Linked DNA regions of Macaca mulatta. The protein of the gene in region 3 interacts with the protein of the main gene of each other region in a biochemical or structural test. Links are inferred from orthologs where the notes say so. Each region holds a gene or a part of one and is shown on either strand. Other genes may lie near its edges. The genes, in order: SPARC, NRP1 and VEGFA.

The links.
Region 1: the proteins of VEGFA (region 3) and SPARC form a complex in vitro, tested with the Homo sapiens proteins (2 studies listed by BioGRID, with this or other methods). The link is inferred for Macaca mulatta from reciprocal best matches to the Homo sapiens genes VEGFA and SPARC.
Region 2: the proteins of VEGFA (region 3) and NRP1 form a complex in vitro, tested with the Homo sapiens proteins (8 studies listed by BioGRID, with this or other methods). The link is inferred for Macaca mulatta from reciprocal best matches to the Homo sapiens genes VEGFA and NRP1.

Annotation. Positions count from the first base shown.
Region 1 is NC_133411.1:160,596,791-160,600,439, reverse strand, and holds part of SPARC (SPARC), read left to right. Parts: intron 1-111; coding exon 112-260; intron 261-2,394; coding exon 2,395-2,543; intron 2,544-3,031; coding exon 3,032-3,060; 3' UTR 3,061-3,649.
Region 2 is NC_133414.1:34,571,022-34,574,670, forward strand, and holds part of NRP1 (neuropilin-1), read right to left. Parts: intron 1,610-3,649; coding exon 1,338-1,609; intron 845-1,337; coding exon 748-844; intron 1-747. UniProt on the Homo sapiens protein: Cell-surface receptor involved in the development of the cardiovascular system, in angiogenesis, in the formation of certain neuronal circuits and in organogenesis outside the nervous system. Mediates the chemorepulsant activity of semaphorins.
Region 3 is NC_133409.1:138,337,312-138,340,960, forward strand, and holds part of VEGFA (vascular endothelial growth factor A, long form), read right to left. Parts: intron 2,987-3,649; coding exon 2,790-2,986; intron 2,010-2,789; coding exon 1,933-2,009; intron 1,581-1,932; coding exon 1,551-1,580; intron 1-1,550.

The DNA.
Region 1 (3,649 bases), on a different chromosome or scaffold from region 3:
TTGGTCTAGTTAGTCTCTGCCTGCTCTGGCCTTCTGGCAGGGGTGGGAGGGCCCGACTGGCCCAGACAATCTCCGTGGACCTCTTGTCACACACGGTCTCTACTCCCTCAGGTGAAGAAGATCCATGAGAATGAGAAGCGCCTGGAGGCAGGAGACCACCCCGTGGAGCTGCTGGCCCGGGACTTTGAGAAGAACTACAACATGTACATCTTTCCTGTGCACTGGCAGTTCGGCCAGCTGGACCAGCACCCCATTGATGGGTAAGACCCCAGACCCTAGAGTGGACAGAGCCATGACTCCAGGCTGGCAGGTGCGCTAGCTAGGGCCAGAAAGCCTCTCAGCAGCCTATGCTGCTTCTAGCCCTGGCATCCACAGTTTGCCTGGGGATTGGAGCAGAAAGATGAGGCATCTGGAGAAAAGATGTGGACTTGGGAGAAAGAAACCAATAAGACACTCTCATGCTGAGGTGAAAGTCAGTAGGAGCTCAAAATAGCTCCATAATCCTGCAAGTACTAGGCGTGGATATCTGGATAATGAAGGAGTGTGAGTTAGGAAGGAGTACCAGGCTCCAAGGGGTGGCAGGGGACAAGGTGGTGTCAGCCATATGCTTCCTGTCCTTCAGCAGAACATCCAGAGGCAGTGCAGCCACCTGGTACTGTCTAAGCCCTCTCCTAAGGCCCAGCCCCAACAGGGCGCAACTGACCCTGGAAGTTATCCAAAAAATCCCATCTATTTTGCGAGCCCCCAGTTTGAGGACTCTTGTCCCTTGTCCAAATGAGTTATGAGGCACTTGCAACTGCACTGCAGAACAAGCAGGCAGCTGGTCAGTTAGCAAATGCTTACTGAGTGTGCATTTTGTGCCCTGCACTATTCTAGGCAGGGGATTGAACAGCAATCAGAGCTGGCATGGTCCTTGCCCTTATGGACTCATACTCTGTTCATAACCCTGTCACTACCTTCTGAACTTTTCTTGTGGTGATGAAGTGAGAGCTCCCGCTCAGCCTCAGATAGAGCAAGCCACACCTGCACCTTCCCAGAGTTGTTTTCACTTTGTCCTTGGGTTGTGGAAGCAGAGCATCACACACAGCAGAAAGGAAGGGCTCCCCTACTCACACACTCAGGGAACTGCCTCTCTAGGATTTTCACCCCTTGCTCTTTATCCAGCCCGTGTGCCTGGAGTCCGCCAACCCTGCCAGTGATCCCGAGGGCTGGGGTCTCCTGAGCTCTGGGAATCTCCCGGCCACTTCTCTCCCAGGCTCTTGCCATGGCTGGGATCCAACTGAGTCACTCATTGTGGCAGGGAGGGGAAAAGTCAAGGGGGAACATCTGGAGCTCAGGCAAAGCAACTGGATCCCACTGCAACAGAGGGCCTGGAGGGAGGCTTCCAGATGGGGTGCAAGGACTGCACATCTGGGAAAGGGCTCCAGCCTGGGCAAGGGGACCCACTTCTTCCTCCTCCCATCCCAGGGCTGTAGGTGACCTTGCCTGCATCCCTGCCCCTCCCTGGGCCTCGGTTTTCCACCAGTACAATGAAGGGGAGGAGAAGGTTCCTATCAGTTCAAACATTGTGTGATTTCTTTGGTGAGCTGGGTGGGGCTGGGAGGTCTAGAGGTTAAGAAGACAACTGGAGTCACATTGTTCCCTGGAGATCCTTGGCGGGGAGAGTGTTTTAGGGACAAGTAGCTGGGGGCTCTGGGGAACAAAGAAAAAAATTATACACATGCTCTGGAGTCTAAGGCCAGCAGGGAGAATAGGGAGGGAGGACAGTGGGAGACATCCAAGGGACCTCCCTCTCAGACATTACAGGATACACAAGTAAAGCTCTATGAAGATGGTTAGAGCTCCTATTAACCCTCACGGCCAATCCCAGTCCCTTTCCACATTCCTTCCCAGACGGCCGCACTGTCACCAGATTGGTGTGGCTTTTTAGACGCTTTACTAGGCATTTATAGTTATATAAATGTGTGTCCATAGACAATATACAGGGTTGTGTTATGCCAGATTTTGATCTACCCATAGCAGAAGTGCTGAATTTTGATTTTAAGTTTCTGTGCCCCCAGTTCTCAGCCAATTGGGAAACAATCAAACACACCAAAAAGACCTTTGTTTTTGAGCCCATGAAACCGTAGAACTGGAAGGGCTGTTAGTGATTACAGCTAACTCCTCCTCTTTGCTGGAAGGAGAAACTGAGGTTCCAAATGGGGCACTGCTGTTCTCTGAGTCTCAGAGCAGTCAGTGGCAGAGCTAGGGGTAGACCTGGGATTCTGGCTTTTTGTCCTGCTTTAAATATCCTTTCCTCCACGCTCTGGGGCAGGCTAACTCCCCGGTTGCCTCCCTAGGCTGGGTGTGGAGCTTTTCCATGCCTCAGGCCCTCTCCTGCCTTCTTCCCTGCAGGTACCTCTCCCACACCGAGCTGGCCCCACTGCGCGCTCCCCTCATCCCCATGGAGCACTGCACCACCCGCTTTTTCGAGACCTGTGACCTAGACAATGACAAGTATATCGCCCTGGATGAGTGGGCCGGCTGCTTTGGCATCAAGCAGAGTGAGTGTCTGAGCAAAGGAGCAAGGGGCATGGGCAGAAGCACTGCTCCCAGGGTTCTGGCTTGTCATCCTCACACTCTCTGCTCTCTTGGTCTGTCTGTTGTCTGTCCTCTCTGCCTGTCTCTGCTCTGTCTGCCTATTTGACTCCGGTTTGTTGGGCATCTTCCTGATCCTTCTCTGTCCGTCCGACTGTCTCTCTCTCTTTCCCTTCCTCCAGCGTTAGCACTCACCTTGTGCTAAACACTATTTTGGGAACTGGCAGGCACACAGAGAGGAAACAGGAAGTGTAACTTGGCAGCGTGTGTAAGAGACAGGGAAAGGCCAGAGACAGGGAAAGCGAGGTTCCTCCGTCACTGACTTCCTGGGTGACCTTGGACGGCCACCTAGACCCCTGTCCCTGGGGATGGGTGGGAGTCCACCAACTCCTTGGGAAGTGCGTCATCATCGACACAGCCTTATTTTTAACCCTGATCTTTTCTTGCTTTGCAGAGGATATCGACAAGGATCTTGTGATCTAAATCCACTCCTTCCGCAGTACCGGATTCTCTCTCTTTAACCCTCCCCTTCCTGTTTCCCCCAATGTTTAAAATGTTTGGATGGTTTGTTGTTCTGCCTGGGGACAAGGTGCTAACATAGATTTAAGTGAATACTTTAACGGTGCTAAAAATGAAAATTCTAACCCAAGACATGACATTCTTAGCTGTAACTTAACTATTAAGGCCTTTTCCACACTCATTAATAGTCCCATTTTTCTCTTGCCATTTGTAGCTTTGCCCATTGTCTTATTGGCACATGGGTGGATATGGATCTGCTGGACTCTGCCTTAAACACACATTGCAGCTTCAACTTTTCTCTCTAGTATTCTGTTTGAAACTAATACTCACCGAGTCAGACTTTGTGTTCATTTCATTTCAGGGTATTGGCTGCCTGTGGGCTTCCCCAGGTGGCCTGAAGGTGGGCAAAGGGAAGTAACAGACACACGATGTTGTCAAGGATGGTTTTGGGACTAGAGGCCCAGTGATGGGAGAGGTCCCTGCAGAACCCACCAACCAGAACGTGGTTTGCCTGAGGCTGTCACTGAGAGAAAGATTCTAGGGCTGTGTTATG
Region 2 (3,649 bases), on a different chromosome or scaffold from region 3:
TTTGTTATAATTAACATCGTATTATATAATGATGTATAACAAAAGTTTCAATGTAGCAAATGGAGCTTAAGACTAATTACCATGCTATTACACTGCCATTAGTAATGCTATTTGTAATTATATATCAAGAACTAGGGAATATGAATTGGTTTTCTATGTCTTACATCCACCTAGTACAAGAACCATAAAGACCAACTCTGAAATACTAGGCCAAGTTTCTGAATTTCATTTAAGTCTTTTAAGCCATTTCAGCTATTTTAAAAGTCAGAAACATCTACTTATTTGTAATAAAGCAAAGAATTATGGCTTCTATGGTTCATTAACAATGTATTCTTAATTAAACTCGTCCTGATCAAAGTTTTCAGAGGCTTGCTGTTTTGTTTATACACTCAGATATTTGGAATTATCCAATGTCTGACTTTCCGCTGCTCATCAAAATGTTTCCGTATGGCATATACAGCTTGTAAGCTGGGTCTTCTTAGCTATACTCTTTGGATTCTGCATTATTTGTGGAGTTTTGTAGGTATCAAGCAGACATTATGAAGGACCTAGGGTAGGTAATGGGACAGCCACAGGTAAATTGGGCTGATTTTATGCCCTGTTGCACCAGAATATGCATTTCCTATGATGTGTCGAGAGGCCACACGGAAATTCCAAGTAGAAATGGGCAAAACAAAGACCACCACTTTGGCAAGAGTCTTGCCCTGGGCAAGTACTCCATTGGTTTCTACAGCAGCTCATACTTACTTGCACAATCTTCTTGTGAAATGTGGTTATTGATACTAATGTCATCCACAGCAATCCCACCAAGGTTTCCTTTTCCGATTTCGCCCTCGAAAATCACCTAACAAAATAAGATCATTTTCACAGTATTGAAATGCTCATCTCACGTGGCAGAGTTTACAAATGCTTGTTCAGCTCCCGCTATGACACATAAATTAAATTCATCAGATTCAGTGTAAGCACACACTTCACTCATCAATCCACATTAGCTGCCTGGTGATGGCATGCACCTTCTCCTCACACTCTCTTTTTATAATACAAACTTTAAAATGGGAGAAAGCAGCAAACAAAAGGAATAATACATTGTGAAAGCCCAGAAATAGATGACATGGAAGTCCTTTGTGTTCTTTCTCAGCAAATTGGTTCTGTTCCTACAATATAGGAGACTGTGAAATCTGCTATGAAGGTGGTTATCATTGCAGCAATATCTCAGGGTTGGGAAACACTGGAAATAATTTCAGAATAATTCCCGCATCTCATTTGCACAACCTCCAACATATCGTCTCAGTATTCCTGCAGCCACTGCCCTTTCCAGCCTTGGGAAGAGGTCATACCTGATAAAGTTTCAGAGACTTGTGAAGCAAGACACGCCCTTCCTTCCAGTGGTCACCTTGGTGTCCAATGGCCATCCAGACCAGCTGATCGTACTCCTCTGGCTTCTGGTAGCGCAGTTTGACCCTGAGTGTGCCGACGTGGGACCCAGACATGTGATACCAGAAGGTCATGCAGTGGGCAGAGTTCTGGGAATAAACCACAGGGCTCACCAGGCGAGCCACTTTGCCCTTCTGATTTTCATCAGCTTGGGAATAGATGAAGTTGCCATCTCCTGCTATGACAAAGAACTGTGTTAGGGAGAGTGGCCAGGATTACCACACTTTTATCTCTCTTATTTCAAGTCTCACTAATCAAAAGCTTCCTGCGCTGAGTGCCAAGAACTAAAATATGTAGTGGAAAGGGAGAAGTGTGCATACTTGGGGACCTCATGGGCACCTGAGGCCCTGCTCTCAGCTCCTGCAAAATGGACATTTGATTAGGGGAAGGCTGAGTGGCACTAATTAGGATACTACTTATAATGGAATACATTTTCATATGGACACAGGCTATGGCTCAAGCTGGCATTTGTACCATCACAAGCAAACTGAAAGCAAAGTCTGTGCATAGCCTGGACTGAAAACGCCTGGCTCTCTAAGAAGAAACCTTATTTATTTATTTATTTGTTATGTTTAGACACTCCTGTTGCCCAGGTTGGGATGCAGTGGTGCGATCATAGCTCATTGCAGCCTCAAACTCCTTGGTTCAAGTGATCATCCTGCCTCAACATTCTGAGTAGCTATGACTATGGGCCCGTGTCACCATGCTCAGCTAGTTCTTAAAAAGATTAATTTTTTCTTTAAGAAGAGATAGAGTCTTTGTTGCCTGTGTTGCCCAGGCTAGTCTCAAACTCCTGGTCTCAAGCAATCCTCCCACACTGGCCTCCCAAAATGCTGGGATTACAGGCATGATTCACCACGCTGGGCCTAAGAAACCCTGTTTTCATGCAACTTTAAGATCGCACAGCAGCATCCATGTGAACACATGCATTAAATGAAATCATTGAGATGTATTTTTATTTATCATTTGAGCAGCAGGAATTCTGATTAAAGAAACTTCTGTCAATATGACTCCTTGATAATCATAAACCTGTAGTTCTTCCTAATAATGTAGTAGTCTTTTAAAAAAAACTTTTTCAAGTTCAGATTATTTTTCCCATAGTTTGTTTTCACGGTTTTTGAATTCCTTAAACACACCTGAGAGCTTGCATCTCTCCTGTGAGCCCTGCTCCTATTTGAGGTGGGCTTCTGGCCCAAGGAGAGGAAGGTTGCCTTGTTGAGGTTCATTAGAACGTGCCATTTTGGCAACATAGACACTTGCTGAACTGCGAGGACTTTCTCTTGGCTTCACTTTTAATGACCCCCACTGGGAACATTTCCTCCTGCCACCACCTGGTCTAAACACACAACCCATGTTTCACTGTTGGCTTTGCAAATAGAAATCATCTTCTCTAACGCCTCACCTGATTAAGTGTGAATCTGCTGCTCGGGCCTCAATGGGCAGCAGGAGGTTGTGTTTGTTGCCCAAGAGGCTTGTGTGTTTGCAAGGTGCTTTCTCACTGTGCACACGTGGGCACATACTCCTCTCTGCTCGCCTGTGTCAACAGTGTCCAGGTGGATGTGGATGTGTTCACGGGCAGTTTCCTTTCCTTACCTGGCTGCTTATGTGAGAGCCCACCCTTCTTCAAACCAGTGGGTGGAATCATAAGGGAAGGGTGTTCACAAGTGGCAACTCTAGCCCCTCTAGTAGGTTTGATACTGCAGGACGAATGTCCCTCTCGCTCTCCGACCTTGCAGGGTGTCCTCTGTGACTGAGCTGATCCATTCACACTTAGGATTTGTTTGCCCACTAATTTATCAAGATGTGATCACCTTGATGGTGATCCATCAAGATCCATCAAGATCCATCAATCCACCAAGATGGGAAAAAAATACACCCATTGTGCCTCCGTCCCCCCAGTCTTATGGAAAAAAGACTGAAATTGGCAATGCTGCTGCCATGTCTTAATCCCACTTATTGAGCTCACTGCTCGAAGTTTATTGAGGCCAGTCAGAGAATGGGTGTTAGAAAGAAGGAGAGAAGTGGACGTAGGTAGAGGGATGCTCTCCCATTGGACATCCTCACTCAACTGCACCATGATCACTTCCTACCCACAACCAGACAGAGAGTTCCTCAAGCACAGGGACCCCCTCCTTCATAGCTGTATTTCCAGTGCCCAACACAGCATCTGCCAGGTAACAGGGCTTCTGAAATGATGCCTGTTCAGTGCACTGGG
Region 3 (3,649 bases):
GTGGGAAACCGAGACTGGGTGGAGGGCACAGGACCCAAGGGTCTCCATGCTCACAATGGCGCCCGGTCTCCAGCAGGGGGCTAAGCCTGAGGGAAGGCTCTTTGCCCAGCAGCCCTGTCCAAGTCTGACCCTGAAGGTCAGGGGGTGATAAAAGGTAGGCCAGACTTTGGGGAGAAGGTCAGAGACCTGCCTGGATGGGGAGCAGGAGTGGGAGGGCAGGCTGTGCGTCAGGCACCTTCTGCCTTCATTTCCGACTGCGACAGAACCTCTGGGAATCCCGGTGTGGGGGAAGTGGCTACCTTGGGAGCTGGCACAGAACCAAGAGCAACACCAGCCTGCTCAGTGCGACCTGTACTGGGAGGCAGGGCTGGGTGTCCTGGAGCCCTGGGCAGGCAGCAGGGTGGGGTGGGAGTTAAGGAGGGCTGGGGAGGAGGGGCTTGGGCGGTACTTGGCAGGGAGTTCTCTCCCCAGCCTGTCAAAGCCTGCTACACCATCTCACCAGACACTCTTCCGAGCCCAGGCGAGCCCCCCACTCTACCCGTGGCAGAGCAGTCATTTGGGGAAGTGGGAAGGGGGGCAGGCTGTAGCCTGTCCCCTTCAAGAGAACCAGCGCTCTCCATGCCTGCCAGGCCCAAGAGAACACACCTCAGAATGTCTGTCACAGGGAAGAAAGGAGGGGGAGAAGGGACCAGAGAGGGTAAGTCTGTCCCCCTTAGGAGAAAGCACCAAAGGGTGGAAGGAAGGTTTCCGCATCCTCTCGTTCTGGAAGCTGGGGGCTGAGGGAAGAGGCAAGGGGTTGAGGCCTGGCGGGGGCTTCAATGTCCCCACAGCACTGGAGGCAGACAAGATGGTGTGGGGGAAAGGGCAGGGCACAGGTGCTCTCTCTCAGTCTCTCTTTCCCTGCAAGCTCTTGCCGATGCCAGTCGCCCACCCTGTCTTGAAGGGTTACTGCCCCCAGACCTTGTCCCCCGCCCCATCCTACCCGCCCCTTAAAAAGGAGCACTCACAAGCCTCTGAAAATGACCAACATTCAACTTTTTCTCCCTGGCCAAGAGGGCTGTGTGTCTGCCGCCTGCCGCCTACAGGAGGGCATGCGCTGAGAAACCACCCTCCAGCCGGCCTTGCATCCAACTGCACCATCACAGTAGCCACCAAAAGAGGCCATTTCCTCTGACACACAAAAGCTGGCCTCTCTGCCACCCACTCCCTCTCCCCACTGTGGGTGCCCTAGAGCAAGCCAGTGAACCAGTGTCCACAGTGCCCCCTGACACACCAAAACAGCAAGTCCTGGCCAGGAATGATCTGGAGACCCGGAAGGCACTGTCCCTTACAAAGGAAGTGCCAGGCTCCTGGCTGGGTTTTCTCACTAGCCCTAGAGCCATCATCCTGGAGTTGGCTCCATCCCATTGTTGCTGACACCACAAGTCCCCCACAAGACCAAGTCTCTGACCCCGGGAGGCTATGGGAGCCCCCAACAGAGGTAGCCAAGAGCCCCAAACCAAGACAACCGGCCATGGAGAGGGAGAAGTGCTAAAGTCAGGGCCACTTACTTTTCTTGTCTTGCTCTATCTTTCTTTGGTCTGCAATGGGTAGGAAGAGAGAAAAGAACAAAACAGAGAAGGGTTAAGATGGTGATGATAATGACAGGGAAAACAACAATAATAATCACAGTAAAAACAGCATTTATTATGGAGCAACACTGTTTTAACCTTCTCATATATAACTTGTTTAATCCTTATAACAATGCTATGAAGTACACTACTATTGTGCCCATTTTACAGATGTAGAAACTGAGGAACACTGAAGTAAAATGCCAAAGGTCACACAGCTGGAAGCTGCACGTGGGCTAAAAAGTACAACATGCTTAACCCTGGCACAGATCAGACACCCTGCAGCCACTTGCTGATAATGAATCCTCGACTACATCCTCACCTGCATTCACATTTGTTGTGCTGTAGGAAGCTCATCTCTCCTATGTGCTGGCCTTGGTGAGGTTTGATCCGCATAATCTGGAGGGGAAGGAAGCAGATCACAGAGGTTAGTGACCCAGCCAGCCATACCCAGATGGGACAACCCTGGGGCTCCTGCCACTCAGCACCCAGGGGTTCTGCAGAGCAGGGATGGGTGGTGGAGACAGGGAGGACCAAGAGCTCTAGCAGGAAAGAGGCTCAGGCCCACCCCAACTCCCCCAACCCTGCTGGCCTCAAGGAGCCCTTGTTCCACTTGAGGCCAAGACAAGGCTGCAAGGGTTGGCCAGGCTGGGAATTCAAATCCTAGGTTCTTACCACTCCCCATGCCCTCCCCTTCTTTCATCCTCTCTAGGCTTCACCCTGACTCCTAGCAGATACCCAAAAGCAACCCCCTCCCTGTGTTTCACAGCTCCCTCCCACCCTATCTGGGCTGAGATATACCCCATTACCAGGTAACACCAAAGACTTTTTAAACTCTTCATGGACCAGGCTCATTCAGCTTCCCAAACAGAGCCCCCAAGAAGAGAGGGCCCTCAGGATTCTCTCCAAGAGAGGGAGAGAGGGGCCTCTGACACAGGCATCCATCTGCCCCCTCCTGAGCCAGGGAGGAGGAGATGGTTGGGGCTTGCTGGGAACCTGGGCTGGGAATACAAGCATCTTCTTCACAGAAGGCAAGACCCTACCACACCTCCCCTGTGCAACTCAGGGGCAGGAGCCAGACAAGGCAAGTCTAGCCAGAAAACGACCTGGGACCACCTGTTCCCAAAGTGTTACGCCCCTCCCTATCCCCCCCTGCCCCCACTTCCCAAAGATGCCCACCTGCATGGTGATGTTGGACTCCTCAGTGGGCACACACTCCAGGCCCTCGTCATTGCAGCAGCCCCCACATCGCATCAGGGGCACACAGGATGGCTTGAAGATGTACTCAATCTCATCAGGGTACTCCTGGAAGATGTCCACCAGGGTCTCGATTGGATGGCAGTAGCTGCGCTGATAGACATCCATGAACTTCACCACTGCGTGAGAGGCGGTGACACATGAGCCCGGTGGACGACACAAAAGATGGCTAGCCCCTCTCTCCACCCAGCTCTGTAAAGCCACTCCTTGGAGCTTCCGTATCAGGCAAGTCCTTCTAAAAATCTACGTCCCTCCTACTGTGTTTGAAGCACTTCCCTAAGCTTTCCACCATCAACACTGGTGAAGGCCTGTTTTCATTCCAGAGATCACACGATATACTCAAGTTCCAAGGGACATGGCCTGCCACATCTGATCCCACCACCTCACTGTGACAGCTGAACTGAATCCTGGGCCAACCTCGATGCCAGAGGACAGTTTGAGTGTCAGTATACCTCATGGGGATGTTGTAAGCTTTCCCTAAAAGGAGGAAAAGCCAGCTTTGCCAAGCTAGTCTCCAGTTTCCTACATCCTCCCCACAACCACTACGATAACATCAACCACACCAACAGCTATTTATTGAGCACTTACTACATCCTGGTTACTGTGTACAGTAGTCCATAGCTATCATCTCACACAAGTTTCTCCACATGGGACTATGAGACACTATTGAGATTCCATTTTACAGATGGGGAACAGGAGGCTCAAAGAGGCTAAGTTGCCCCAAGGCCGCACAGCTAGTAAGTAAAGGAGTCAGAATTAGCTGACATCAAAGTGTTCCCAAG